Lonchura striata: one gene and its partner. The protein of the gene in region 1 purifies or fractionates together with the protein of each later gene. This does not show direct contact. Links are inferred from orthologs where the notes say so. Each region holds a gene or a part of one and is shown in the gene's direction. Other genes may lie near its edges.

Evidence for each region.
Region 2: the proteins of CARM1 (region 1) and SMARCC1 purify together in Homo sapiens (affinity purification with western blotting; 3 studies listed by BioGRID and IntAct, with this or other methods). This does not show direct contact. The link is inferred for Lonchura striata from reciprocal best matches to the Homo sapiens genes CARM1 and SMARCC1.

What each region holds. Positions count from the first base shown.
Region 1 is NC_134623.1:1,181,083-1,195,998, forward strand, and holds the start of CARM1 (histone-arginine methyltransferase CARM1), read left to right. Parts: upstream 1-8,335; 5' UTR 8,336-8,345; coding exon 8,346-8,490; intron 8,491-10,524; coding exon 10,525-10,650; intron 10,651-10,741; coding exon 10,742-10,848; intron 10,849-12,309; coding exon 12,310-12,414; intron 12,415-14,035; coding exon 14,036-14,146; intron 14,147-14,916. UniProt on the Homo sapiens protein: Methylates (mono- and asymmetric dimethylation) the guanidino nitrogens of arginyl residues in several proteins involved in DNA packaging, transcription regulation, pre-mRNA splicing, and mRNA stability.
Region 2 is NC_134603.1:156,473,003-156,487,646, forward strand, and holds the start of SMARCC1 (SWI/SNF complex subunit SMARCC1), read left to right. Parts: upstream 1-6,961; 5' UTR 6,962-6,985; coding exon 6,986-7,207; intron 7,208-13,435; coding exon 13,436-13,555; intron 13,556-14,644. UniProt on the Homo sapiens protein: Involved in transcriptional activation and repression of select genes by chromatin remodeling (alteration of DNA-nucleosome topology).

The sequences.
Region 1 (14,916 bases):
CTCCCCCCTCCCATAATCCCTTCCGGCAGACCAACCCCTTCTGCTCCCCGGATTTCTCCGCCCACATCCCTCCTCCACCCCCCGTCAACTCCCCCTCTCTTGAATTATTCAACACCCCACCCCTCAGCTCCACCCCCGGGGAGGGGAGTCCCCACCATACCACTCCCCCTGCTCCAGACCACGCCTCGTCCCCTGGTTCCCACGACCCCACTTCCAGTTCCCACGCTTTCGGTTCCGGGGGGGGGGAGCGTGGGAACCCCAATCCACCCCAGTCCCTACCTGCCTTCTCGGCCGCACCTGTCACCTGTACCCCGCGGCAGGGGGGTAGGCCCCTTGCACAGTGGTCCCCCATCCCCCAGCAGACCATCAAAGAGCTCTGCAAGGCCAAGAAGGGGTTCGGGATGGAAAGCGAATACTTCCGAGGCTTATTAAAAGCAACCCTCTCCTCCAAAGAATATGTCCCAGCAGACATGCGAACTCTCTTCTCCTGTTTAATTACCCACGGAGAATTCCTCATCTGGGAGTCCGAGTGGAAGCGGGAGATCAGAGAGGTGTTACCTGACCTCTGGGCCAATGCAGATAGCTCTAGGGATGAAGATGGGGCTGTAATATCGCTAGACCACTTGTGCGGGGAGGGAGATTGGAAAATGGGGACCAAGCAGGCGGAAAAAATCCCCAGAGAGGCGCTGCAAGTCAGCACTAGGGCAGCAGAAAAGGCGTTTTTTAAGTTAAGACCCAGCGGTACGGTTATTAACTTCTTGTCCCTAAAGCAGGAATCCCTAGAACCTTTTGTCGCGTTCGTGGATCGCTTGCATCACGCGATGGAGGCTCAGGTCCCGGACGAGAGGCTGCGAGAGGGGATGCTTGCCACAGTTGCGAGGCAGAACGCTAACGACGCGTGCCGGCAAGCAATCCTCAGTCTGCCCCTGGACCCTGAGCCTACCCTTCAAAGCATGCTACAAGTCTGTGCGAAGAAGGTGACAGTTCCTGCTAAAGACATTCCAGAGACTCCTAAACCACCAACAAAGAGAGTAGCCTTCGTTGAAGCCGTGACACCGCCAGCCACCCCTTCTCCAGATCGCCGCCCTACAGGAGCACCCCCGAGGGGACAACAGCACCATCAGGCCTGCAATCTATGTAGGCAGAAGGGACATTGGGCTTCCCAATGCCCGCTGAGGGACGAGTTTTTTAGGTTTAAACAACAGCGACAAGAAAAGAGTGCCCCCAACTCGGGGGGAAAACAAAAAAACTGAGTCATCAGCGCAGTCCCTCCCTGCGCGAGGACATAAATATGGTGGGTTCTATAACATCAGAGGAGGGGAGGGACGACTACCTGCAATGCCCACCTGAGGACATTTCACTGGACTTGACACACCAGATTATGGCTGACAAACCAGCCTATATGAGAGAAGATGTGGATTTCATTCCCACTGCTTGGCTGGGTCGAGGCCCGAACCAGCCCAAGCCGATACTTAACATCGTATCTGGTTTCTCCCCATATAGGTTGGCCCTGACTGAAGCTCTGCACCTAAGGGACAGCGACTGGCACTCCATCGCTGTCGACACAGAGGACCCAGGAACCTGGAGGAACCTCCACAGTAAGTACATCGTTCTTGGGGACACAAAATTCACGCCTCTCGAAGTCACTATTGCACCATCCCTGACATCCAGGAACACCGAGCGATTAGTGGTGTGGCTGCACTGCCCCCATCCTCCAGTCTTCCTTCCCAAGGGCCAAATCATCGCCCAAGCCATTCCAGCATCTGGGCCTCCGGCACACCCTGAGGATCTATGGAAGAAATCAGCGAAGAAGAGCTACCAGGTGTGCCAGGCCCAGGTCATAGGGAAGGAAAGACCAAAGCTCTCCTACTATATGCGGAAGGATGGGGAGTACAAACACCTAAGCGGTCTCCTAGATACAGGAGCAGACGTAACAGTCATTCCCGAACGGGATTGGCCGTCACGCTGGGAATTGCAAAACGTGGCAGGGAAAATTCAAAGTGTAGGGGGTTCTCAATTGGCAAAGCAATCAAAAAACATCGTAAAATTTGAGGGGCCGAACGGACAATCGGCCTATTTACGCCCGTTCGTATTAGATTACACAGAACCCTTATGGGGGAGAGACCTGATGGCCCAGTGGGGGGTCACAATTAACATCCCGACCCCCCAGGTTTTTCGGGCAACAGTCACTGAAGAGCGTCCTACCCGAAAACTTAATTGGCTCACAGATACACCAGTGTGGGTAGAGCAGTGGCCGCTCAATAAACAGAAATTAAAAGCGCTTCGGGAGCTCGTGAAGGAGCAACTTGCCAAAGGGAATATCCAGGAAACAACATCCCCCTGGAATTCCCCTGTCTTTGTCCTAAAAAAACCTGGCAAAGACGAGTGGCGCCTCCTTCATGACCTTCGCGCCATCAACAATGTAATAGAAGACATGGGTCCTCTCCAGCCAGGGATGCCGTCCCCCACGATGTTACCAGAAAATTGGGAATTAGCTGTCATTGACATCAAAAATTGTTTTTTCCAAATTCCCCTACACCCTGATGACGCACCACGGTTCGCCTTCTCGGTTCCTTCCATCAACCGAGAAGCCCCAATGGAGAGATACCACTGGAAAGTTCTTCCCCAAGGCATGAAAGTCAGCCCAAGCATTTGCCAGTGGTACGTCTCTTCATTGCTGTCCCCTGTGCGTGCAGCCACCGAGGGCGTGATCATCCAGCACTATATGGATGATATTCTTATTTGTGCCCCCAACAGCGATCTACTTACACACGCGCTTGAACTGACAACCAGTGCGTTGGTTGCTGTAGGGTTCGAGCTGCGAGAGGATAAGATTCAAAGAATGCCACCTTGGAAGTACCTGGGTTTGGAGATAAACAAGCGGACCATTGTTCCGCAGAAATTGGCCATAAAAAATTCAATTCGGACTCTAGCCGACGTGCAGCAGCTGTGTGGGTCTTTAAACTGGGTGAGACCCTGGTTAGGTATTAACAACGAAGACCTAGCCCCTCTTTTCAATTTATTGAAAGGGGGGGAAGAGCCTAGTTCTCCCAGGGAACTCACTCCAGAGGCCAAAGCCACTTTGCAGAAGGTTCAGGAGGCAATGTCTGCCAGGCAGGCCCATAGGTGTGATCCGGGCCTGCCCTTCAAATTCATCATATTGGGCAGACTGCCACACCTCCACAGTGTCATCTTCCAATGGGCAGACACCCTAGGAAAGGGCAAGGATAAGGACAAAAGGGACCCACTCTCCATCATAGAGTGGGTATTCCTGAGTCATTCACGATCCAAAAGGTTGACACGGCCACAAGAGCTGGTGGCAGAGCTAATCCGCAAAGCGAGAACGCGGATTCGGGAGCTGGCGGGGTGTGACTTTGATCACATCCACATTCCTTTGAAATTAGAATCGGGCCAATTCACAAAGGCAATGTTAGAACACCTGCTGCAAGAGAATGAATCATTGCAGTTTGCACTGGACAGCTACACCGGAAAAATTTCTGTTTTGAGACCGGCCCACAAAATTTTCAATTCCGAAATCCAATTCACTCTGTCAACAAAACAAATTCAGAGCAAAAAACCCTTAAAGGCTCTAACAGTTTTTACGGACGCGTCCGGAGGGTCCCACAAGTCAGTAGTGACTTGGAAAGATCCTCAAACTCAGCAGTGGGAGGCAGATGTTGTTGAAGTAGAAGGATCCCCTCAAGTAGCTGAGTTGGCCGCAGTCGTTAGAGCTTTTGAGCGGTTCTCTGAACCTTTTAATTTGGTAACTGATTCGGCCTATGTAGCAGGTGTAGTGTCTAGAGCACAGGATGCAATCCTGCAAGGTGTCTCCAACGATGCCCTTAACAGGTTGCTCTCTAAGCTGATAAGGCTAGTCTCCCACCGAGAGCAACCGTTTTATGTGATGCATATCAGGTCACACACCGACCTGCCGGGGTTCTTGGCCGAGGGCAATTGGCGTGCCGATTCCCTCGCTGCCGCCCCCGCACAGCTGGCGCCGCTCCCGGACAAGTTCCAGCAAGCCAAAATAAGCCACCAGCTTTACCATCAAAATGCGCCTGGTCTGGTCCGGCAGTTCCATCTAACCCGGGACCAGGCCAAGGCCATTGTGGCCACATGCCCGTCCTGTAAGTCGCTCCCACTACCATCAGTGAGCGCAGGGGCTAACCCTAGGGGTCTGAAGTCCTGTGAGGTGTGGCAGATGGACGTTACTCATATCCCCTCCTTCGGGAGGATGAAGTACGTCCATGTCTCCGTAGACACCTTCTCTGGAGCAGTTTTCGCCTCTGCCCACACAGGGGAGAAGGCCAAGGAAGTAGAGAAACACCTGATACAAGCCTTCTCCATGCTAGGCGTCCCAAAACAGATAAAAACAGACAATGCCCCCGGGTACACATCCAAGGAATTCGCAGGCTTCCTGCAGCAATGGGGAATAGAACATAAAACTGGCATCGCCTATTCCCCGACAGGTCAAGCCGTGGTAGAGAGGACTCATCAAAGCATCAAAAGGATGCTTAAACAACAACAGTCGTCAGCTAAAAATGAGTCCCCCCAGGTTCAGTTAGCGCGGGCCCTTTTTACCATCAATTTCTTAAACTGTTCTTTCGAGTGCCTCAACCCCCCCATCGCGAGGCACTTTAATTCCTACGAGCAGAGCAAGGTCAGGGAAAAGCCGCCAGTTCTCATTAAAAACCCTGAGACCTGGCGACAGGAGGGACCCTATGACTTGGTCACCTGGGGACGGGGGTACGCTTGCGTATCCACGCCCTCAGGCCTGAGATGGGTCCCTTCCAAATTCGTCAGACCATATGTCCCTAAGACCCAGAAGAGAAAACCGGACAGTCCTCAAGTTGGGTACGCCGCCCTCCGACGGCGGAAAAAGTCCCCCTCACCTGATCCCCCCTCTTCCCTCCCTGGCTCCGGAAATTCTCTGTTCCCCTTTGAGTTAGACCTCCCCTACCTCGACTATTAATTTCAGTTGCTTTCTAAAGAAACAGGACTTTTGCTGCTGCTGGGACTCATTGTGTTTCTTACAAGCTTTAACATAGTGATGAACTGAAACCCTTGAACAAAGAAGGGTTTCAAAAAGAAGAATTTCCAGAAAAAGGAAACATCTAGTTTCAAAATGAGCCCAGTGACTGTGAAGACCCCGTTTAAAGACTTACTTTATCCTCTTCACCTTTCTTTCTTTTTAAACAAAAAAAGGAGGAGATGTGGAGTTGCGTTATGTATATGTTTTATTATCCCTGTATTATGTATTGGTTTATTCCTTTGTACCCCCGTGTGCAACTTGGTTTATCCCCAGTTTTCCCGCCTTGTCCGCCCTTCCCGCCTTCCCAGTATCTATCCATCACCCTGAAAGAGGCATTTTACCCCCCCCGGGTGCCTTGTCTATCACTCGGTGCCCCTTCCCATCCATCCAGAAGCTTCTACTCAGGGCACCGGGTGATTGGGCGAGGACCTGGGGCTCCCCCCATATCCTTCCCCCATTGGACCCCACCATATCCCCCCATCCCGGAGCCACCCCCTATCCCTATCCCCATTGGTCGTTGGATACCCCTCCCTTACAGTTTATAAGCCAGTGCAAGCACCTTGTGCTTGTTCTTGTTGGCTGGCACCGTTCTAGGATATTTAGCCCCGTTGGGCTACAATAAACTCGGACTTAGCCCCCAGCAGGATCCGCTCTTCATTTACCACCGCGAGGCTTGCTAGCGCTGCCCGGAACCCACAAAGGCACTCTCCAAACCCCAGCTGGGAGCGGCGGAGGGTGCCTCCATCGCCCGCCCTCGCCCCACAAGAGCTAGCCGGGGCTGAGACAAAGGGAACCGGGGCGGGAGCGCGGCATAAAATAATAGCGAGAATAATGGGAATAAAAGTGATAGGAAGAGGGGGAGTGATGGCGGGGATAGCAGGGATAAGGAGAGTAAAAAATATAGGAATAGTGGTGATAATAATAGCGGGAATAAAGAGAATAAGGGGAATAAAAGTGGTGGGACTAGCGGGAATGATAGCGGGAATAATGGGAATAATGGGAATAAAAGTGATAGGAATAGTGGGAATGATAGTGGGAATAATGGCAATAAAAAAGGGATAGTGGGGATGATAGCAATAATAATGGTAGTACGGAACCGGGAATTCCGGGGGTTCAGAACCGGGAATTCCGGGAGTTCAGAACTGGGAATTCTAGGGGTTCAGAACCGCGAATTCCGAGGGTTTAGAACCGGGAATTCCAAGGGTTTAGAACTGGGAATTCCGAGGGTTCAGAACCGGGAAATTCGGGGGTCCAGAACCGGGAAATTCGGGGGTCCAGAACCGGGAATTCCGGGGGTTTAGAACCGGGAATTTTGGGGGTTTAGAACCGGGAATTCCGGGGGTTTAGAACCGGGAATTTTGGGGGTTCAAAACCGGGGATTCCAAGGGTTTAGAACCGGGAATTTTGGGGGTTCAGAACCGGGAATTCCCGGTAAGTCCGGACCCCCCGTGCCCTCCAAACCCACCGCAGCCCCCTCCAGCCCACGCGTGTCCCCCCAAAATCCACCCCCGCGTCCCTCCCGCTGTCCCGGTGAGGCGTCCCGGGGGTCCCGGTTGCCCCTCCTAGTTCCCGGTGAGGACACGGAGCCGGGAGCGCCTCCCGGCGTCCCCACGGATCGAGGCTGGCCCTGGATCCGGTTACCGGGAGCCCTCCGGGAGGATCCCGCCGCCTCCGGTGCTGCCGGTGCTCCACCGGACTCGATGGTGCCAATAAAGGTGTTCGTCTCCAGCGCCGCCACCTTCCCGGTGTCCCGGTACTGGTGCCCCATTCCTGGTGTCCCGTTCCATTCCCCATTCCCGCTGTCCTGTCCCGCTGTCCCGTTCCCATTCCCGGTGCCCATTCCCGCTGTCCCGTTCCCGGTGCCCCGTTCCCGTTACCACTGTCCCATTCCCAGTGTCCCGCTGTCCCGTTCTCGGTGCCCCGTTCCCATTCCCGGTGTCCCGTTCCCGGTGCCCCGTTCCCAGTGCCCCGTTCCAATTCCCGGTATCCCGTTCCCATTCCCTGTTCCCCGTTCCCGTTCCCGGTGTCCCGTTCCCATTCCCGGTGTCCCGGTGTCCCGTTGCCCCGTTCCCATTCCCGTTGCCCCGTTCCCGGTGCCCCGTTCCCATTCCCGGTATCCCGTTCCCATTCCCGGTGCCCCGTTCCCGGTGCCCCGTTCCCGGTGCCCCGTTCCAATTCCCGGTATCCCGTTCCCATTCCCCGTACACCGTTCCCATTCCCGGTGTCCCGTTCCCATTCCCGGTGCCCATTCCCGCTGCCCCGTTCCCGTTCCCGCTGTCCCATTCCCGGTGCCCCGTTCCTGTTCCCGGTGCCCCGTTCCCATTCCCGGTATCCCGTTCCCATTCCCGGTGCCCCGTTCCCGGTGCCCCGTTCCAATTCCCGGTATCCCGTTCCCATTCCCGGTACACCGTTCCCATTCCCGATGCCCATTCCCGCAGCCCCGTTCCCATTCCCGGTGTCCCGTTGCCCTCCCGCCCGCCAGGGGGCGCACCAGCCCCGCCCGCTGCCTTTTTTGTGGGCGTGTCCCGGTCGGTGTGGGCGTGTCCCGGGTCGGTGTGGGCGTGTTTCGGTCGGTGTGGGCGTGTCCCGGTTGGCGGTGGGCGTGTCCCGGCCGCTGTGGGCGTGTCCCGGCCGCTGTGGGCGTGTCCCGGCCGCTGTGGGCGTGTCCCGGCCGGTGTGGGCGTGTCCCGGCCGCTGTGGGCGTGTCCCGGGTGGCGGTGGGCGTGTCCCGGCCGGTGTGGGCGTGTCCCGGGTGCCGGTGGGCGTGTCCCGGGTCAGTGTGGGCGTGTCCCGGCCGCTGTGGGCGTGTCCCGGGTCAGTGTGGGCGTGTCCCGGCCGGTGTGGGCGTGTCCCGGCCACTGTGGGCGTGTCCCGGGTCAGTGTGGGCGTGTCCCGGGTCAGTGTGAGCGTGTCCCGGCCGGTGTGGGCGTGTCCCGGGTGGCGCTGGGCGTGTCCCGGTCGCTGTGGGCGTGTCCCGGGTCAGTGTGGGCGTGTCCCGGTCGCTGTGGGCGTGTCCCGGGTCAGTGTGGGCGTGTCCCGGGTGGCGGTGGGCGTGTCCCGGCAGCTGTGGGCGTGCCCAGGGTCGGTGTGGGCGTGTCCCGGGTGGCGGTGGGCGTGTTCCGGCCGCTGTGGGCGTGTCCCGGCCGGTGTGGGCGTGTCCCGGTCAGTGTGGGCGTGTCCCGGCCGCTGTGGGCGTGTCCCGGCCGCTGTGGGCGTGTCCCGGCCGCTGTGGGCGTGTCCCGGCCGCTGTGGGCGTGTCCCGGCCGGGTCGGGGGGCGTGGCCCCGCGTGGGCGGGGCGCGGCGCGGTCCAAGATGGCCGCGGTGTCGGTGTTCCCCGGCGTGCGGCTCCTCACGGTCGGGGACGCGAACGGGGAGATCCAGCGGCACCAGGAGCAGCAGCCGCTGCGCCTCGAGGTCCGCACCGGCCCCGACAGCGCCGCCATCGCCCTCTACGGCCGTGAGTGCGCCCGGGAGCGCGGCCCGAGCGGGGCGGGCGAAGGCGTGAGGGGCTCTGAGGGGATGGGGGAGGGGCCCTGAGGAGGCCCCGAGGGGTCTCCGGGGACGGGGGGGATGGGGGGGGTCGGGCAGGAGCTGTGGGGAGCTGGGGGGGGTCCCTGGGGGGTCCGTGGGGATGGGGGGGTCGGTGGGGAGGGGGCGCGTGGGTCTGGGGGGTGGGTTGGGGGCTGGGGGGGTTTGGGGGATTTGGGGCTCGGGGGGGCTGGGCTGGTTTGGGGAGGGGTCCGGAGAAGGGTTTTGGGGGGGCTTTAAGTGTCCGTCAGCTCGGGGGGGCTCGGGGGCAGCTCGGGCTGGGGGGGGGTCCCGGTTCCCCCGTGCCCCCCGCCCGTGTCCCCGTTTCTGTCCCCGTCCCCGTTCCCGTTCCCGTCCCCCGGCGTTTCCCGGAGGCTGCGGAAAGTTGATTCCCATCCCCCCCGCTCCTGCCCGCTTTTACCCGAAACGGCCCCGATTCCGTGACCTTCCCGGTACCCCCGCCCCGGTTCCGGGGCCACGGGAGGCGGCGGCGGCACCGGCTCCGCTCTTTGTCTCGGCGCACGGTCCCGGCTCTTCCCCTGCTTTGGGGCTTTTTTTAAACTCCTCTTTATTTATTTTCTCCCCCCGAACTCGGCGCCCGCCGGGATTCCCGCGGCTACCGGGGGGTGGTGGGGAGCGACCCCCGGCCCCCTCCCCTCGGTGCTAACGGGGCGCTCGTTAACCGCCGGGAATAATTAATGAACCGGCGGGAATAATGAGCCGGCGGGAATAATTAACGCGCGGCTTCGCCGGCTTTGACACCGATGCTGAGGGGGTGGGGAGGGAAACTGAGGCACGGCCGCCGAGCCCGCGGCTCCTCCCGGTGCCGGGAGAACCGGAGCTGCCCCCGGAGCCTGCGGCCGCCGTTCCGGAGCTGCCTTTGTGTGCCGGGCCGGGGGGCTCCGGGTGGTCCGGGCGGAGCATCTGCCGGTCCTTTCATCGCCCACAAAGAGCCGCGGCCGCCGGGGCTCCCGCTCCCGGTGCTCCCGGTGGAAACCCGCCGCTCCCGGTCCCTCCCGCAACTTCCCGCGGCGTGGGAAGGACCCCCGGGAGGTGTGGGGAGGGGAGGGGGGGAAACCGGGATTTTTATTTTATTTTTTTGGGAAGCGGCTGGGTCGGTTTTTCCGGCGTGAGAGCGGCCGGGAGCTCCGGGGGTGCCTCCCGGGATGGCTCCCGGTCCCCGGGCCGGTTCCGGGGGAACGGGGCTGACTCCCGGGATGGCTCCCGGGGCACTTCCCAACTCCTGGGGCGATCCCAGCCCCTCCATCCTCTTCCCTGACCCCAAATCCTCATTTCTTTCGGGAATTCCGGCTGCCCCCCCCCAACACCGGGCCGTGCTTTAGGAGCCCCCCCCCCCCGCGCTGTAATTAGAGGTTAATTAGGTTAATTGTGCTTTATCCCGCTCTGTTGGGAGGGTTCGGAACCGGGACCGGGCGGGGGCCTGGCCTGGCGCTCACCTCGCTTTTCTCTCTGTCCCCTCCCCGTTTCCTTTCATTCCACCCCATTTTCCCTCCGTGCCCGCCCCGTTCTCCCTTCCCCCTCCCCATTCCCGGTGCTCCCCTTCCCCTCATTCCTGCTTTTCCCCTTCCATTCCCTGTTTTTCCCCCCCATTCCTGTTTTCCCCCCAATTCCCTATTTTTCCCTCTCCCCATTTTTCCCACCCATTCCCATTTTTCCCCTCATTCCTGTTTTTTCCACCCAATTCCCTCTTTCTTCCCCCTCTATTCTCATTCCCCCCCTCTTTTTTCCCCTTACATTCTCATTTTTCCCCGTTTTTCCCCCCATTCCCCATTTCCCCCCATTCCCATTTCTGCCCCCCAATTCCCTGTTTCTTCACTCCATTCCCCATTTTCCCCTCTCCATTCCTGTTTTTTCCCCCTTTTTCCCCCCACAATCCCCCTTTTCCCCCCTCCATTCCCATTTCCCCCCCATTTTTCCCCCAAATCCCCTTTTTTTCCCCCAGACGAGGATGTCTGCGTGTTCAAGTGCTCCGTGTCCCGCGAGACGGAGTGCAGCCGGGTGGGGAAGCAATCCTTCATCATCACCCTGGGCTGCAACAGCGTGCTGCTGCAATTCGGGACCCCCACCGGTGCGCAGCCCCCCTGCATCCCCCCCAGCTCCCCGGGGATCCCCCAATAACCCCCAACCCCCCCCTTTGGGTTGTTTTGTATTTTTCCCAGATTTCTGCTCTTTTTACAACATCCTGAAGAACTGCCGGGGACACAACACGGAGCGCTCGGTGTTCAGCGAGCGCACCGAGGAGTCCTCGGCCGTGCAGTACTTCCAGGTGGGAATTCCCGGGGCTGGGGGGGGATTCTGGCTGGGTTTGGGGAGAATCTGGTTGGGTTTGGGGAGATCTGGTTGGGTTTGGGGAGATCTGGTTGGGTTTGGGGAGATCTGGTTGGGTTTGGGGAGAATCTGGTTGGGTTTGGGGAGAATCTGGTTGGGTTTGGGGAGAATCTGGCCGGGTTTTGGGGAGATTTGGCTGGGTTTGGGGAGATCTGGCTGGGTTTGGGGAGATCTGGCTGGGTTTGGGGAGATCTGGCTGGGTCTGGGGAGAATCTGGTTGGGTCTGGGGAGATCTGGTTGGGTTTTGGGGAGATCTGGCTGGGTCTGGGGAGATCTGGTTGGGTTTTGGGGAGATCTGGCTGGGTCTGGGGAGAATCTGGCTGGGTCTGGGGAGATCTGGCTGGGTCTGGGGAGATCTGGCTGGGTCTGGGGAGATCTGGCCGAGTTTTGGGGGCACACCTGGCCGGGTTTTGGGGGCACACCTGGCCGGGTTTTGGGGAGAATCTGTCTGGGTTTGGGGAGAATCTGGCCGGGTTTTGGGGAGATTTGGCTGGGTTTGGGGAGATCTGGCTGGATTTTGGAGAGATCTGGCTGGGTTTGGGGAGAATCTGGTTGGGTTTTGGGGAGAATCTGGCCGGGTTTTGGGGAGATCTGGCTGGGTTTGGGGAGAATCTGGCTGGGTTTTTGGGAGAATCTGGCTGGGTTTTGTGGGGAATACCTGGCTGTGTTTTGGGGAGATCTGGCTGGGTTTGGGGAGATCTGGCTGCTTTTTTGGGGATACGTGGCCGGGTTTTGGGGGGAATCTGGCCAGGTTTTGGGGGGAGAATCTGGCCGGGTTTTGGGGGGGGAATCTGGCTGGGTTTGGGGATACCTGGTTGGATTTTGGGGAAATCTGGCTGGGTTTGGAGAGATCTGTCTGCTTTTTTGGGGATACGTGGCCGGGTTTTGGGGGGAGTCTGGCCGGGTTTTGGGGATAGCTGGCTTTGTTTTGGGGAGAATCTGGCCGGGTTTTGTGGGGAGTCTGGCCGGGATTTGGAGGGAATCTGGCTTTGTTTTGGGGAGAATCTGGCCGGGTTTTGGGGGGAGTCTGGCCGGGTTTTGGAGGGAATCTGGCTGGGTTTTGGGGATAGCTGGCTTTGTTTTGGGGGGAATCTGGCCGGGTTTTGGGGATAGCTGGCTTTGTTTTGGGGGGAATCTGGCCGGGTTTTGGGGGGAATCTGGCTGTGTTTTGGGCATAGCTGGCTTTGTTTTGGGGAGAATCTGGCCGGGTTTTGTGGGGAGTCTGGCCGGGTTTTGGGGGGAGTCTGGCTTTGTTTTGGGGAGAATCTGGCCGGGTTTTGGAGGGAATCTGGCTGTGTTTTGGGGATACCTGGCTTTGTTTTGGGGGGAATCTGGCCGGGTTTTGGGGGGAGCACCCAGCCAGGATCCCGGGCTGACGGGCTGTCCGTGTGTCTGGCAGTTCTACGGGTACCTGTCGCAGCAGCAGAACATGATGCAGGACTACGTGCGCACGGGGACGTACCAGCGGGCGATCCTGCAGAACCACAGCGACTTCAAGGACAAGGTCTGCCATTTTTCGGGGGGTTCAGCTCGTTTTGGGGGGAACCCGGTGTGTTTTGGGGGGTCTGACTGGGTTTTTGTCGAGACTGGCTTAAGGAGGGAAGCCTGGCTTGGGTTTTGGGGAGATCTGGTTCCGTTTTTGGGGAGATCTGGCTGGGTTTTAGGGGGAATACCTGGCTGGGTTTTGGGGGAATCTGGCTGGATTTTAGGGGGAATCTGTCTGCTTTTTTGAGGAATCTGGCTGGGTTTTGGGCAGGATCCAGCTTGGATTCAGGTGGGAATCCCGTCTCACCTTTTGGAGAACTTGCCCTGTTTTTTTGGGAAGCCTTGCTCGCTTTTGGGACAAACCAGCCAGATTTTGGGGTTTGGCTCCAGCTCCAGCAGCACAGCTTTGTCCCAGAGCTGGAAATTGGGTTGTTTTTCCCATCCTTGGGGAGCACAGCTGGCCAGGGGTGTGGGCCAGCCCCACTGCTGCCGTTCCCACGCGCGTTAAAATGGGATCAAAAATGGGATCGAGCACAGATCAAAACCAGGATCAATATGGGATAAATGTGGGATAAACCACAGGATCAAAATCAGGATCAAACACAGATCAAAACTGGGATCAAAAAAAGGGGTTCAAATGCAGGATCAAATATGGGATAAAACACAGGATTAAATGTGGGTCAAATGTGGCATTCAAACACAGGATCAAATGTGGATCAAAAATGGGATCAAATGCAGATCAAAACTGGGATCGAACACGGGATCAAAAATGGGATCAAATGCAGGATCAAATATGGCATAAAGCACAGGGTCAAATGCAGGATCAAATATGGGATCATACATCGAACACGGGATCAAATATGGGGTCAAACACAGGATTAAACATGGGATCAAACACAGGGTCAAATGTGGGATTAAATGCAGGATCAAACACAGACTCAAACATGGGATCAAACAGGGGATTAAATGCAGGATCAAACATGGGATCAAACACAAGATCAAACACGGGATTAAATGCAGGATCAAACACATGACCAAACACAGGATCAAATGTAGGATCAAACATGGGATTAAAATGCAGGATCAAAGACAGGATCAAACACGGAATCAAACACGGGATTAAATGCAGGATCAAGCACAGGATCAAACATGGGATTAAACACGGGATTAAATGCAGGATCAAACACAGAATGAAACACGGAACAAACACAGGATCAAACACGGGATTAAATGTGGGATCAAACACAGGGTCAAACACGGAACAAACACAGGATCAAACACAGGATTAAATGCAGGATCAAAGGTTTAAATGCAGGATCAAACACCAGCCCAAACACGGGATCAAACACGTGATTAAATGCAGGATCAAACACAGGGTCAAACATGGGATCAAACACGGGATCAAACATGGAACAAACACAGGATCAAACACAGAATCAAACACGGAACAAACACAGGATCAAATGTAAGATTAAATGCAGGATCAAACACGGGATTAAATGCAGGATCAAACACAGGATCAAACACCAGCCCAAACGCGGGCTCGGCGCGGTTTTGCCTGCCCTGATCCCCGGGGATCCGCTGGGATCCGGGCCTGGGGGGCTCCTGGAGGATCCCAGCTGCCCCCAAACCTTTCCCAGATCGTGCTGGACGTGGGCTGCGGCTCGGGGATCCTCTCCTTCTTCGCGGCGCAGGCCGGGGCGCGCAAGATCTACGCCGTGGAGGCCAGCACCATGGCCCAGCACGCCGAGGTGAGCCCCACCCCGACAGCAAACGGGTTTAAAATCACGGGGATTTGGGGTTCGAAGGAAAATTCAACTTATTTTCCCTGGGAAAATACCCAGGGAAAGCGTAGGCCTTGTACTTGCTACTGCACCTGTGTAGCCAGTAGATGATAAATGCTGTAATTGTTAGATGTGATGATTGTTTAGTAATTAAATCTAATTGCTGTTCAATCGTAAGAATAATCATGAGAAACTGTGGTCTAAGGAAGATCACGAGAAACTCGTGCTCGCATAAAGCCAATGTATACAATAGAACAATATAAGTTTAATAATTAATATGGAAGTTAAATGTAAGAATAATCATGAGAAACTGTGGTCAGGGGCTTGAGAAAGATCACGAGAAACTCGTGCTTGAATAAAGCCGATGTATACAATAGAACAATATAAATTTAATAATTAATATGTAAGTTAAAACAATAGAAGTTTAATAATTAATATGTAAGTTATATAGGGATAGAATGTAAAATACATTCAGCTCAAAAGCCGTGTCAGAGTCAGATTTGGGTTTGTACCCCTGATTCCCAGAGCTCTCAATAAAAGCACCTGCAGGGAGTCATATCCCCATGATTATTTGTGTTTCTGAACACTGACAACCCCATCCCCTTTTCCCCTCCTTTTCCTCTCCTTTCTTCCTTCTTTTCCCCTCCTTTCTTCCTTCTTTTCTCCTCCTTTCTTCCTTCTTTTCTCCTCCTTTCTTCCTTCTTTTCCCCTCCTTTCTTCTCTCTTTCCCCCTCCTT
Region 2 (14,644 bases), on another chromosome or scaffold:
CTTTTTATTCAGGAATAAACTGAGGTGGGTTTGGAAGCAAAAGCTTCAGGGAGGACTGGAAGGAAAGGGAGGCTGGAAAGCCTCGGAAATACAGGCAGGGGGCTGGAAAAGCTGGGAAAAAGCTTGGAAACACAGACAGGGGGTTGGAAAAGCTGGGAAAATCTTGGAGAAACATGGGCAGGGGGCTGGAAAAGCTGGGAAAACCTCAAAAACACACAGGAAGGGGCTGGAAAAGTTGGGGAAATATTGGAAACACAGACAGGCGGTTGGAAAACCTGGGAAAACCTTGGAAACACACAGGCAGGGGGCTGGAAAAGCTGGAAAAAAACTTGGAAATACAGGCAGGGGGCTGGATAAGTTGGGAAAACCTCAGAAACACACAGGAAGAGCCTGAAAAAGTTGGGGAAATTATGGAAGCATCCAGGCAGGGGGCTGGAAAAGCTGGGGAAACCTTGGAAACACACAGACAGGGTGCTGGAAAAGTTGGGGAAATCATGGAAACACACAGGAAGGGGCTGGAAAAGTCGGGGAAATCTTGGAAACACAGGAAGGGGGCTGGAAAAGCTGGGGAAATCTTGGAAACACACAGAAAGGGGCTGGAAAAGTTGGGGAAATCCTGGAAACACACAGGAAGGGGCTGGAAAAGCTGGGGAAATCTTGGAAACACACAGACAGGAGACTGGAAAAGCTGGGGGAAGAGGCTGACAGGCAGTCCCAGTGTGCAGGGACAGTCAGGGGTGAGGAGGGCTGGTGGTTTGTCACCAAAAATGATATAAAAAATTATCTTGTGGGCACAGAAAGAGCGGTGAAGACTCAATTTATTAAAAAATTCCAGAGGTCGCCGATTCCAGGTATCTTTATTTTGCAGAGAGCAGCGTTAGCCAGCACAGGCAGGGTCTCCAGAGCCATCTCCCAGCTTTGGCAGCTCCTGGATGAGCTGGGCTGGACCTGCCCCTCCAGCCAAGCCTGTGCAGGGGCAGCAGCTCCTTAAGGAGCCACGGGTCATTCAGGAATTCCTTCATCCCCAGGGCTGGAGCATCCCGAGTCCCAAACCCAGCCTGGCTGTGACAAACCACCAGCCCTCACCAGGAAATTCCGTCTCTCCACCCAACTCCAACCCCACTGACAGGATTTGGTGGAGGAGAGGGGCTTTGTTCCCAGCTGAAGGCACTCTGTACACAATTCCTGCCCCGGGCTGGGAAGAATTCTGGGATTTTTAGGGTAAATCCAGCAGCCCCAGTGCTGGTGGCTCAGAGCAGGGCAGTGACAGGAGTGGTGGGGTCACTGCTGCGTGTCCTGAGTGCCAGGGGAAAGGATGAATTCCCTGGGATGGAGGCAGGCTCCCTCTGCCTCAGCCAGAGCGGGAATATTTTAGTCCATTCTATCCACTCTCTTTAAGACCAAGTAACAGAGCTCAGGAAAGATCCACAAGTTAAAGCAGAAAATGGTGACTGGAGGGATTTCTGAGGACAAAATATGATTGAAAGGAAGGCTGGCAAAGCAATGGCAGGGAAAAGAGCCATGGTGACAGTGACAGGTATTACAGGATCAAATCCCAAGGATAAAGAGCTCGTGGAGTAGGTACTGAGGGATACAGGAATATTTAGGAGGACAAAATTAAAAGGGAAAAAACCTGTGCTTGAAGCTGAACAGCAAGCAAGTGTCCAATGTCTCTGGATAACACTGCAGGGCTCCTCTGCTTCCCTGAAATCCTGTCCTGTCCCTCCTGGGCCAGCTCTGCTGCCACACTGAGCTCCTTCCTCACCCAGTGAACTCCTCCTCCTCCTCAGCCACCTGCTCCAGCTTCCCCCTCCGAGCTCAGGACAATCCCCAGTGCAGCCCCAGGCTGTGCCAGCTCTTACCTTTGAGGGAATTCAGCGAGAACATCTCCATCCCAGCGGGAAGGGTGGGTTCCTGGGACAGCAGGAGGGAGCACAAAGAAACTGCAAGTTAGAATTGGTAGTTCCTTTAAAATGTTTCAGGTGCTTCTGCTTTGGCTCAGTGGTGAAAATGAGGGGTTTTTAAAAGCCTTTTAGGCCAAGGTGAAGTAGATTGTTGCCATTATTCCCTTTAAATGAAAACCAAAAAAACCAGGAGAAGAAAGAGAACTGTAATTTTGATAATGTTCTTTACTGAAACTGTGTTAAACTTCCTATTTATTTTCTTACTAAAATAACTTTCACTCAGTTAAGAAAACCAACTTTGTTTTGGGGTGTTTTATCTGTCATGCCAAGTGTTAAATACACTGTAGGGATTCTTGGAAACAGTAACAAGGCTTTTCTATAAACTCAGGTCAGATGGGTGAGGAGTGAAGGTCATTATTTACACACAAAGTTAGTTTGGAGCTGAACTTGCATGATCCTGGTGGATCCCTTCCAAGGCAGGATATTCTGGGATTCTATGGACATTGACTGTCCCCATCAATGACTTCCTGAGCATGCAATTAATAGCCTGCAATTATCATTCCAATTATTCACTTCTGCTTTCAGTAAGACAAAATTACTTCAGTAGCAAAAAAAAAAAAAGGCTTCAAATAAACCCAGCCCATTTTCTGGCCACATCTCTGGATGTGACACCTTGTCCATGGTCCATGGGTTCCTCCCCACGGACACACGGATACCAACCTGCCCTGGCTGCCAGGGCCACACCTGGCCTTTTCCAAGGATGAAATCAATAAAACCAGATTAATTGACTTGGCAAGAATTCAACCCCACGTGTGCTGTGGTGATTCTCAGAGGGGAATGTCCCTGGTGTGATAAATCACTGCAGGGAACAAAGTCGGGGAGGTTTTTTGTGGTTCTGGAGCCAGATTGCCAAGGCTGGAGCCTGTGTCCCCTTCCATGGGGATCACCCCAGCCTGGCTTAAACTGCCCTAAAGCCAAGGGGATTTTGATGAGTTGGGTGAGTCCAGTATTGCTCTGACAGAAAGGAGCCAATCCCTGAATGCTCCAGAAGTGCTGCAGAGAGGAAACCAGGAGTGGGACAGGGAATGCTGCAGGGAATGCATCTCCCAGGGCACTGGCCACATCCCCCTGCACATTCTGACCAAAGAGGGGCAGCTGTTTTTGGGGGTACCCCAGGGAATCATCCAGGGAATCCCTCCCTCAGCTCCTGGGACAGGATGGGCAGGTAAACTGCAGCGTTCCCTAGTGGGAATTCAGGGAGCAGGAACAAGGAATGCCCCAGCCATGCTGGGGTGGGGAAAAGGGTTCTTCCAAAAATGCCTTTGAGCTGAGAGAGGGCAGGGATGGATGGGAGATTGGGAAGCAATTGCTGGCTGGGAGGGTGGGGAGGGGCTGGGATGTAATTCCCAGAGAAGCTGTGGGTGTTCCCTGCATCCCTGAAGTGTCCAAGACCAAGCTGGACATTGGGAACAGCCTGACCACGGCCTTGCTGGATGATCCTTACACTCTCTTCCAACCCAAAAGGGTAAATGCAATACAAAGTTGATGAGAGTGGTCTTTTCTGCTCAAGAACAAAGAAATAAAAAATGGAGAACCCTCCGGGGATGAGGCTCCAAGGTGAACAACTGAGATCCCCTTGGATAAGCAAGATTCCAACCCAGCTGTTGGTAGGATCCTGGCTGCAGATCCCAGCTGGGCTGGGAGCCTTACTGGGAACCAGTAAGAATCAGACTGGGTGGGAGTGGGGCAGGACAGGGAGGAGAATAAAGGATCTGCTGAATCTGGACAGCAGGAGCGCAACCTGGGAATCACTTTTAGCACATCCAGCAGCCTGGGGGAAATCCCAGGGTTTGCTCCTGCAGATCCTAATCCCAAATAATAAGTGTCCAACTGTGGCAGCTGCTCCAGCCCGCAGGGAAACACAGAGATGGAAAGGGATACTGCAAGACTCAAAATGGATTTTGTCTGATGACAGGAGAGATGTGGGAGCTCCGAGGACACTGGATTTGTGAAGAAATGGCCTGGACAGGCAATGGCACAGCTGGAATGAGAATCCACAGGAGTGTGGAGCCCTGTGCCTCACACCCAGCAAACTCCAGAGCCCCGAGTGGCACAAGAAACACTAAAAGTTTGTTAGGAACAGACTCAGTGCTCCTGCTGCGAAGGCAAAGAGTGAAACCAGGCAAAGCGGCACGGAACATTGTCAGATAAAATCCCAAAGGATGGGAAGGAATTGCTGGGGTCCCTTGATCCACTGGAAAACAACTACATGAGGAAAAACCACATCGCCGAGAGAGACGCAGGGAAAATCACAGCAATTCCGATTATTGGCTGCTGGGATAGTCCAGCGGTGTTGGAAGGGGCAGAGCCCCGAGTGCTTTGTGAGGAGAACAAAGGAGAAATCCTGCTGTCGGCACATCCAGCCCAAGGATTGCCTGCCCGGGCTCCGGGCAGCGCCAGCCCGCCGCTCGCAGCCGTGATTTATCCTGTACTTTCCGTGCTTTGGGCCGAAGGAGCGGCGGAGGGCTGCAGGAAACCTTTCCCTACAGGAATCCTTTCCTCCCGGCCAGCCCCGCAGGACCCTCGCTGCTGAGCGGCGGCAAGGACGCGCTGCCGGTGGCACCGGGCTCCGAGCGGCCCCGGGCGCCGGGGCCAAACCGCTGACCCGGAGCGACCCTTCCCGCGGCCCCGGGGCTCCACGGGGCCGGCGGGGACGAGCCGCAGGCGGGCGCGGAGAGGCGGGAGCGGGAAGGGCAGCGGCAGAGCAGCTCCGAGCGGAGCGGAGCGGAGCCTGCCCCGGGCAGGGACGGAGCTCCGGGCACAGCCGCGCTCCGCGGCCGCTTCCCGGGGCTCCCCCCGCCGACCCCTCGCCCAGGGCCCGCGGGGAGCGGTGCCCCGGAGCCTCCCCGAGCATCCCCGAGGCCTCCCGAGCATCCCCGGGGCCGCCGAGCATCCCCGGTGCCGCCGAGCATCCCCGCCCGCGCCGCCCCGCCCGCACAGGCCGCGGCCCCGCACGGCCCTCCCCGCCTCAGCCCGCGCTGCTCGGCGCCATCCCCCGCTCGTCCCCCGCCTCCCGCCGCCGTGCCGCCCCCGCGGCCCCCCCGGTTCTCCGCAGGGGTCGCGGTCCGACCCCCGCCCGCCCAGCACCGACCTCCGCACCGCGACTGCCGCCGCCGGGCCGCCCCTCGGGACTACAGCTCCCGGCAGCACCCGCGCGCGCTTCCGGCGCGGCGCACTTCACTTCCGCTCTCCCCGGAACTGAGGCGGCCCGCGCGTTCCCCGCGGCCGGCGGCGCCGCGGCGCGATGCCCCTCGTGGGCGCGGGGCGGGGTCTGTCCCCATGGCAACGGCACAGCCAATGGGCGGTGAGGGATGTCCCCATGGCAACGGCAGAGCCAATGGGCGGCGAGGGTTGTTCCCATGGCAACGGCAGAGCCAATGGGCGGCGCGGCCTCTGGGGGCGCTGTAGCCTCGGCCCCGCCGTGGGACCCGTTCGGTCTGAGGCCCGATCCCGGTCCCGGTCCCGGTCCTGGTCCCGATCCCGGTCTGAGGCCCGATCCCGATCCCGATCCCGGTCCCGATCCCGGCCCCGATCCCGATTCCGATCCTGATCCCGGGGATGGACCCGGCCAGCCCCGATCCCGGCACCGGTCACGATCCCGGCCCCAATCCCGATCCCGGCCCTGATCCCAATCCTGGTGATGGACCCGGCCGGCCCCGGCCCTGATCCCGATCCCAGCCCCGATCCCGGCCCCAATCCCGATCCCGATTCCGGCCCTGATCCCAATCCCGGGGATGGACCGTGCCAGCCCCGATCCTGGCCCCAATCCCGATCCCAGCTCCAATCCCGGCCCCGGCCCCGATTCCGATCCCGGGGATGGACCTGGCCAGCCCTGATCCCAGCCCCAATCCTAATCCTAGCCCCGATCCCAATCCCGGTCCCGATCCTGGCCCCGATCCTGATCCCAGCCCCGATCCCAATCCCAGCCCCGATCCTGGCCCCGGCCCTGGCCCCAGTCCTGATCCCGATCCCGATCCCGGCCCCAATCCCGATCCCAGCCCCGATCCCGGCCCTGATCCTGATCCCGGCCCCGATCCCGATCCTGGGGAAGGACCAGCCCCGATCCCGATCCCAACCGGGGAGCTGCTCAGAGCACCCGTGGCTGCCCCTGGATCCCCGGCAGTGTCCCAGGCCAGTGTCCCATTGGGGCTGGAGCAGCCGGGACAGGGGAAGGGAGCGAGTGCTCCGTGTCCCCGCCACGGCAGGGCTGCGATGGGATGAAATTTTATGGCTCTCCCAAGCCAGACCCTCTGGAATCAGGGATGCGATGGGATGAGATTTTATGGCTCTCCCAAGACAGACCCTCTGGAATTGTTGGCTGGGCTCATTGTGCTGCCTTTTGAGAATGGCAGTTCTGAAATGGTGAAGTTCAGATTGCAGGATGTTTGCTGGGTTTATTGTTCCCTGTATCTCCAGAGGTTTCCTTTCCTGCAGGTGTTTATTTCTGCTTTGGAGTGTTCAGGGACGAGGAACATTTACAAACTACTGTAAATGCAAGGGACAGTTTTATACTGGGGATTGTGATTTTAATGAAGGACCTCTTGGTGCTCTATTTAATAATGTTGGAACTAAAATATGTATTTTTAAATGGTTTATCATGGTTTTGGTTTGTTAAATTTTTTCTCTGTTATGTTCAATTCACAAATAAAACATTACTAGACACTCAAAACTAAGTGGTTTCTATAAAGGAAAATTGGGGGGAATTGCTTCATAATGACCCGTTCCAGGGCTCTGGTTGTGGAAAGATAAAGGCACCCAAACAGTGAAGACTTGGTGCAGACACCTGCAGGTAATTATGTCAGCACCCAATTTACTCCTTAATTGGGGCTCGGGGTCTCCAGGCGGGGCCTGAGCAGACCAGAGAGGTACCGAGGGCACGGACGGGGAGTTCGGGGCCCGGAGCACCCCCTTGCCGGTGCCGAGGGCGCGCTCCCGTTCCGACCCCCCGAGCGCGTCCCCGAGCGCGCTCCCGCTCCGGCGGCGGGCGCGCTGCCGGGGTGGGCGGGGCGCGGGCGCGGCGCATGCGCGGCGCGGGGCGCGCGGGGACAATGGCGGCGGCGGCGCTGGCGGCGGGCGGAGGCCCCGGGAGCGGCCCCGCGGCGGCCCCGGCGGGCGGGCCCGGCCCCGCGCTGGCCGCGGCGCGCCGCAAGGACGGCGGCCCTGCCGGCAAGTTCTGGGAGAGCCCCGACACCGTGTCCCAGCTCGACTCGGTCCGCGTGTGGCTGGGGAAGCACTACAAGAAGGTGCGGCCCGGCGGGGGCGGAGGGCACCGGGCGGGCGGCGGACGGGACGGGGGGGGGCCGCAGCTTTGCTCCGCTCTTTGTGAGCCGCGGCGGGCGCGGGGCCGGCTCGGCGGCAGCGCCGGGCACATTTCCGTTCCCTCGGCGCCGGCCGGTGCCCGGGGCCGCGCTTGGGGCAGCCCCGCTGGCCCCGGGACGTCCCCGCTGCCCGCGGGGCCCGGCCGGTGCCCGCTCGCCCCGGCAGCGACTTTCCTGCGCGGGCAGGTCCCGGCCCCGCCGGGTTTCGCTTCAGCCGCGCCCCGGCGGTGCCGGCAGTGCTGGGCAAAGGGAGGAAACCGCAGCGGGAGCTTTGGGAGCCGCGCTGAACCCCGCGCCGTGCCCCGGGCTCGCTTGCGGCAGCGTCGTTGCTGCCCGCGGGCTCCTCTTCCTCCTCGCACGCCCCGGCTGCTTCGCTTTCTTTATGCGTTTTAATTTTAAAGCGTGCTGACTTTCTAACTCCATTTCGGTCCGCAGCCGGGGGGGATGGCCGGCGTGGCTTGGCAGCGGCTCCGCCGCGCGGCGGTGCCCGGGGAAGCCGCGCGGCCCCGGCCCGCCTCCTCGCCGCCGTTCCCCGGGTTGGGGCAGCCCCGCTGTCACCGCCCCTGGAGCAGCCCCGGCTGGCGCTTGGCTTCTTTGTGAGGCGGAGAATCCGAGAAGGGCGATCCGACCTGGGAATCCGAGCTGCAGCGCCCTGGGGTGGGAGCCGCCCGGGCTCGGGTGTGTTTTTCCAGTCCTTCCAGCTGGGCTCGGGGCGTGGGGCGCCGTTTGCAGCGGCCGCTCGAGCTCTTTGTGTTGACGGGGAAATGTTACGGAATACTCGTGCAGTTTGGCTTGTTCCGCTTGCGGTTCTGTGCTGTCCCACGCCCTGGAGCAGCTGTGGTTTCGCCTTTCCCTGCCCTGGCCGAGCAGCCCCGGGATGATCCCGGGAAATCGCTGCTCCGGGAAGGGCCCAGGTGCCCTGCTGAGCACGGAAAGGATTTGCTGTGGCTCGAAATCCCCGGCCAGGCTGGCTCTGTGCTGGCTCTGTGTGGTGCAGCAATGGGAGCCAAGGGAAAGCCCCTCCTTTCAAACTGGTTATCTAAAATAGGTATTTATTTCTCGCGAATCTGAAAGGTAATTAGAGTTGGGCTAAGGAGACTTTACAGGGTGAGTGAGTTTTGGAATGTTGCTGTGACGATCCTTTTAAAAAATGAAAAGTAATTTTGGTTTGAGGAAACAAGAAAACTGATACTAGTGCTCAAGGATCAAGCCTTAACACTCCAGGAGGGAAGGGCTGGCTCCCTTTTGGATGTGCTGGAAATGGACTCTGGTTCAACTTGTTCTGTTTTCATCCTGCTGTAGGTGCGTGGCTCCTCCCAGAGAAGTACGTGGTGATTTTAACTGGCTTTTGTCCAGTCTATACTCTTAAAAATAGATGTTTGTACATCTCAGTGGTGAAGCTGTCAGCAGCAGTTGGTGTGTCCAGCTCCAGGGACACTGGGGACCAGCTGGAGATAATCCCAGAGCACCACCGAGCTCAGTCAGGGATCCAGAGGTCCTGAGGGGCAGGGAGGGTTGGAGAGTTGCATTTACAGAGCTGCTCATTTTGTCTCTGGATTAGACAAGACTTAAATATTGAAGAGTTCTCTGTGTTTCTAGAGTACAACAGCTGTGGAGGAGCTCTCTGTATCTTCAGAGTACAATTTAGAGCAAAGGAGGTTTCAGTAGTAGTGTGGAAGACTCACACTGGACCTTGAAAAACTCATTGACAGGCACCAAAGACAATGATAGAAAATTAAATTATTGGTATTGTACTGAGCAGATTTATTCCAGGCTCCCTCCTGCTCCCAGTTTGTGTGTGGAGTGTCTGGAAGTGGGTTTGTGGTGTTCTGTGCATGAAGGGATGCAGGAGGTGGCCAGCCCCATCCCAGGCAGTACGGGTGCAGTAGGGATGGTGGAGCCTTGCTTCCCTGAGAGCTGGGAATGGGCTCATGCCGTGGGTTTGGAGTCCTGGGGCATCTGAGAGACTTACATGGAACAAAGTCACAGATCCTGGAATGGTTTGGGTGGGAAGGGGCCTTAAAGCCCATCCAATTCCACCCCCTGCCATGGCAGGGACACCTTCCACTGTCCCAGGCTGCTCCCAGCCCTGTCCATGACACTGCCAGGGATCCAGGGGCAGCCACAGCTGCTCTGGGCACCCTGTGCCAGGGCCTGCCCACCCTCCCGGGCAGGAATTCCTTCCCAATATCCCACCCATCCCTGCCTTCTGGCAGTGGGAAGCCATTCCCTGTGTCCTGTCCCTCGATCCCTTGTTCAAAGTAATTTGGAAAGGCTGTAATGGACACCTTGATGTCACCATAGTAACTTAGAAATTCACAGTGTAGAAGTAAACTGGGCAATTCTCTTTTTATTATCTCAATGCTCATTTATCTAGGACATTGTGCATTGTTCAGGCAGTTCCTTTCTCAATAATCCCTCATATTAAAATGGGCTGTCCCAAAGCAGTTATTTGTTGTCTCTGAAAACTCTTTCCAAGGTAGTTTGGGAGGGGTTTTAGCTGGGATCCAGGGAGGGTTCTGTGTGTGCAGCTCAGATCCAGGGAGGGTCTGTGTGTGCAGCTGGGATCCAGGGAGGGTCTGTGTGTGCAGCTCAGATCCAGGGAAGGTTCTGTGCATGCAGCTGGGATCCAGGGAGGGTCTGTGTGTGCAGCTGGGGTCCAGGGAGGTTCTGTGTGTGCAGCTCAGATCCAGGGAAGGTTCTGTGTGTGCAGCTGGGATCCAGGGAGGTTCTGTGTGTGCAGCTGGGATCCAGGGAGGGTCTGTGTGTGCAGCTGGGGTCCAGGGAGGTTCTGTGTGTGCAGCTGGGATCCAGGGAGGGTTTTGTGTCTGCAGCTGGGATCCAGGGAAGGTTCTGTGTCTGCAGCTGGGATCCAGGGAGGGTCTGTGTGTGCAGCTCAGATCCAGGGAAGGTTCTGTGTCTGCAGCTGGGATCCAGGGAGGTTCTGTGTGTGCAGCTCAGATCCAGGGAGGGTCTGTGTGTGCAGCTGGGATCCAGGGAGGTTCTGTGTGTGCAGCTGGGGTCCAGGGAGGTTCTGTGTGTGCAGCTGGGATCCAGGGAGGGTCTGTGTGTGCAGCTGGGATCCAGGGAGGTTCTGTGCGTGCAGCTGGGATCCAGGGAGGTTCTGTGTGTGCAGCTCAGATCCAGGGAGGTTCTGTGTGTGCAGCTCAGATCCAGGGAGGTTTTGTGTGTGCAGCTGGGATCCAGGGAGGTTCTGTGTGTGCAGCTGGGGTCCAGGGAGGGTCTGTGTGTGCAGCTGGGGTCCAGGGAGGGTCTGTGTGTGCAGCTGGGATCCAGGGAGGTTCTGTGTGTGCAGCTGGGGTCCAGGGAGGTTCTGTGTGTGCAGCTGGGATCCAGGGAGGTTCTGTGTGTGCAGCTGGGATCCAGGGAGGGTTTTGTGTGTGCAGCTCAGATCCAGGGAGGTTCTGTGTGTGCAGCTGGGATCCAGGGAAGGTTCTGTGTGTGCAGCTGGGGTCCAGGGAGGGTCTGTGTGTGCAGCTCAGATCCAGGGAGGGTTCTGTGTGTGCAGCTGGGATCCAGGGAGGGTTCTGTGTGTGCAGCTGGGATCCAGGGAGGTTCTGTGTGTGCAGCTGGGATCCAGGGAGGGTCTGTGTGTGCAGCTGGGGTCCAGGGAGGGTTCTGTGTGTGCAGCTGGGATCCAGGGAGGGTTCTGTGTGTGCAGCTGGGGTCCAGGGAGGTTCTGTCTGCAGCTCCTCTGTGCTCTCACCTTTGCAAAGGAACAAAGGTTTATCCCAAATCAAAGCATTTCAGTGTGGGGTTTCCCTTGGCTCTCATGTGTGCCCTGAGCTGAAATGTGCTTTGTTTGGGGAAGGTTTGTGCACAGAGCCACCTGCAGAGCTGGTGTGGGTGTTTGAGGTCAGTGCCCACATCACAGCTGCCTGTGGATCTGTCCCCCACCAGTGACAAATGCTGCCAGGGCAGCTGCAGTGCAGCTCTGGCTGCAGTCGTTCCCTCTGCTGCTGCTCACACTCTGCTTTCTGACCACACATTTTCTGCTTAAAGACAGGGGGTGGTTTGTGTTTCTAATTATTGTGGAAAGGTTGGAGAACTCTGCTGTGTCAGTGGGGCTTTGGCATTTCAGCATGGGAGCAAAATCCTCTTATGGAACAGAGCATCATTCTGTCCTCTGGAATTCACTGCTTAGAAACCTTTATTTGCTGCAGGATCATTTTGTGGGCATGAGGGGAGAACCTGGAGACCTGTTGGACTTGATGCCTCTGTGATCCCTCAAAGCCACTGTGAATTGATTGGGAAATTGGCTGCTGTGTTTTACTGCTTAAAGATCCATTTGTGCTGCTCATTAGGATGCAGAAATGATGGAGGGGAGTCTTGGGCTTCTTTTTGAAGGGTTTTCCCCCTTATTGTTCAGGGAACCTCAGGCAAGGTAATGGGCTTCTCATTAAAAGGATCTGCAGGATAGTGGCAGTGCAAAGGAGGATGAGAAGGTGTTGTGCTCCTTTTTAGCTTCCAGCTGTCAGTGCCTCCTGCAAGAGGTAAAAATGGGAGCTGCAAGAAAAGAAATTTATTGTCTGAAAAAGTTCACATGACTAAGGATAGGCTTTGCAAGGTGCATTCTCATGTAATTTTCTTTTTTCTCTGAAGGAAAATATCTGGAAAAGAGAAGTAGAATAAATCAGTACAAGGATGCAAATTCTTCTGGATTTGTTTTTTGAAGGAGATTCATAATATCCCAGATTGGTTTGGGTTGGAAGGGATTTTAAAAATCATCCAGTTCCACCCCTGCCAGGCAGCGACACCTTCCACTGTCCCAGGCTGCTCCCAGCCTGGCCTTGGGCACTGCCAGGGATCCAGGGGCACCCACAGCAGCTCTGGGCACCCTGTGCCAGGGCCTGCCCACCCTTCCAGCCAGGAATTCCTAACTCCCAATCTCCCATCCATCCCTGCCTCTGGCAGTGGGAAGCTGTTCCCCCTTGTCCTGTCCCTCCAGCCCTTGTCCAAAGTCCTGTGCAGAGCCAGGAGTTGGACTCGGTGATCTTTGTGGATCCTTTCCAACTCAGGATATTCTGTGATTTTGATATAATTAAAACATTAATTCCAGGGGGAGGGAAGAGGGCAAATTGAAATGCAGCTTTGAAATGTTAGCTTTCACTTCTTTCCAGGCTCGTGTTTCTAGTTCAGGATTTATACACAGGACAGGACACTGGGGAGCCCCATGGGAATTTGTGTCCTCTGAGTTGGGAAGATTTAATTTCTCAGATATGTGCCTGCTCCTGAGAAAGTGCTGGGGGAAGTCACATCTCAGGGTGGTCAGACACTGAAATGATAATTGTTTCCATTCACTGTGTCTTTGTGGTGTCTTTGGCTTTGAGCTGATGCTTTGCAAAGCTCAGTTAGGTTTGACTGTTATTTAGCACCACAGCTTTAAAACTTTGAGAGTTCTGGGTCTCAAAAGCTTTTTTTTTTTTTAAGGGGTTTTAGAAGAATCTGATTTGAGGGAAGAGGAAAAGCTGAGAGACTGGGGTAGCTCAAATTGCTCCATGTTCTTCCTGGAAAAGTGATGTTTGTTCTCTTGGAAGTCACCTGGCACAGCGAGGAGGTGACATCCAGTGAGTGAATACTGGATATTAGGGTGACAAAAACTCAGCACCGTGGGAGGGATTTAATATTCCATGCTGTGATTTTACATTCACCACGTAAATGTAATTTTATAGAACCTTGGGAGCTGCTGAGACTGTCCCAAAACATCGCAGGCACCTTTGTGTGGCTCAGCTTTTCCCTCTGTGCAGGACATCGTATTTATATCAAAGGGCTGCTCTGAGGATTAATTAGGAGTTGATTACAGCAGGAGGCTGTGGAGTTACTGCAGAAAGCTCTGAGTGTGGGGGCAGCACAAGCCTGTTCCTTTATTAGGAGCTGAGATCATCCTGAGTGGTTAATCCTTGTCTGGAACCAGCCTGAGGAGCTGGGCATCAGCCACAGGTGAGTGCTGGATGTTCAGCCTGAAGCTTGGGAAATGTTTTGGCTTGGTGCTTCTCCTGTGCAAACCCCCCTGCAGCCCTTCCCAGCCACGCAGGGATCCCAAAATGCTGGAACTCTGCAAGTGCAGGAGGGTAGCCAGCCTTCACTCCCAGCTTCCCTGTCCCCAACAAACGTGTGCTTTTTGTCTTGCAGTACGTTCAGGCAGATGCTCCTACCAATAAAACGTTGGCTGGGCTGGTGGTGCAGCTGCTGCAATTCCAGGAAGATGCCTTTGGAAAACATGTCACCAATCCTGCCTTCACAAAGCTTCCTGTGAGTATTGGGACTCTCACTCTGCTGGCACAGCTCAATGTCCTGCTCCTGGGACATCCCTGCTCCAGCCCAGGCTCCTCCTGGTGCAGCCTCTGGAAGGGCTGGAGTAGCACACCTCTCCTTAGTGCAGATTTTCAGTGTAATACAGCTTATTCCCTGTGTATTAGAAATGATTTCTGGAATGCTGTGAGAAGATTTTCATTTCTGCTGAAACTCAGTGTAATTAAAGTCAAATCTGGACTGGTGCATCCTAAACGGAGTGAGTAAAATGCACTCTCCAGGGCAAACAAGCTCCCATTAGGTGTTCTGGTTGATGAAGCTCCAGACTTGTGAAGTTGCCACGGCTGAGAAAGGACTTTGCCACGTTCTGCAGCAGCAGTGAGCTGCTGGCCCTGGGATGTTTCTCCAGTCCCTCGGGACACAGGTAGCCAGGAACAATGTCAGCTCTGTGAGGGCTGTGCTGTCACTCTGCAGCCTGGTGCCCTGCCCACCACCACAGGATCAGCTTCTGGGGAGGGGATGCAGACAGAGGGGTCTGGGAGGAGGGAAGGGATGCCAGCCTGATGCCAAGGCCCAGCTGGGTGATTTAGGGGAGGTCTGTGGGCCAGGACAATTGTCCTAAACCTGTCAGTGTGGCACCAGCAGGGAGGTGTGTGCTCATCTTTGCCACAGGATGTGTGCTGGCCTTGGGGGTCGTGCCTCTGGGGTTCTTTGGGGTGGGTGCACAAAGCTGGAATAATTTATAGCCAATTAAGGTGTTGAAGCCCATTGAAACTGAAGTTGGCTTGAAAACTGTTGGCAGAACTCCTGTGGTGGGTGCACATGACAGGGCAGTCCTCTTTTTGTTCTTTGCTGGTGTCCCTGCAACCTCTCCATGAGGGTGGGACGTGCACACTCCTTCACTGGAAGGGTTTTCACTCATGGGGTGAATCCCAGAACAATTCCCAGATGAATTTTGGAAGGAATCCTTCCTTTTGAGAGTGCTAAGGCCCTGGCACAGGTGCCCAGAGCAGCTGTGGCTGTCCCTGGCAGTGTCCAGTGCCAGGCTGGACATTGGAGCACCCTGGGGCAGTGGGAGGTGTCCCTGCC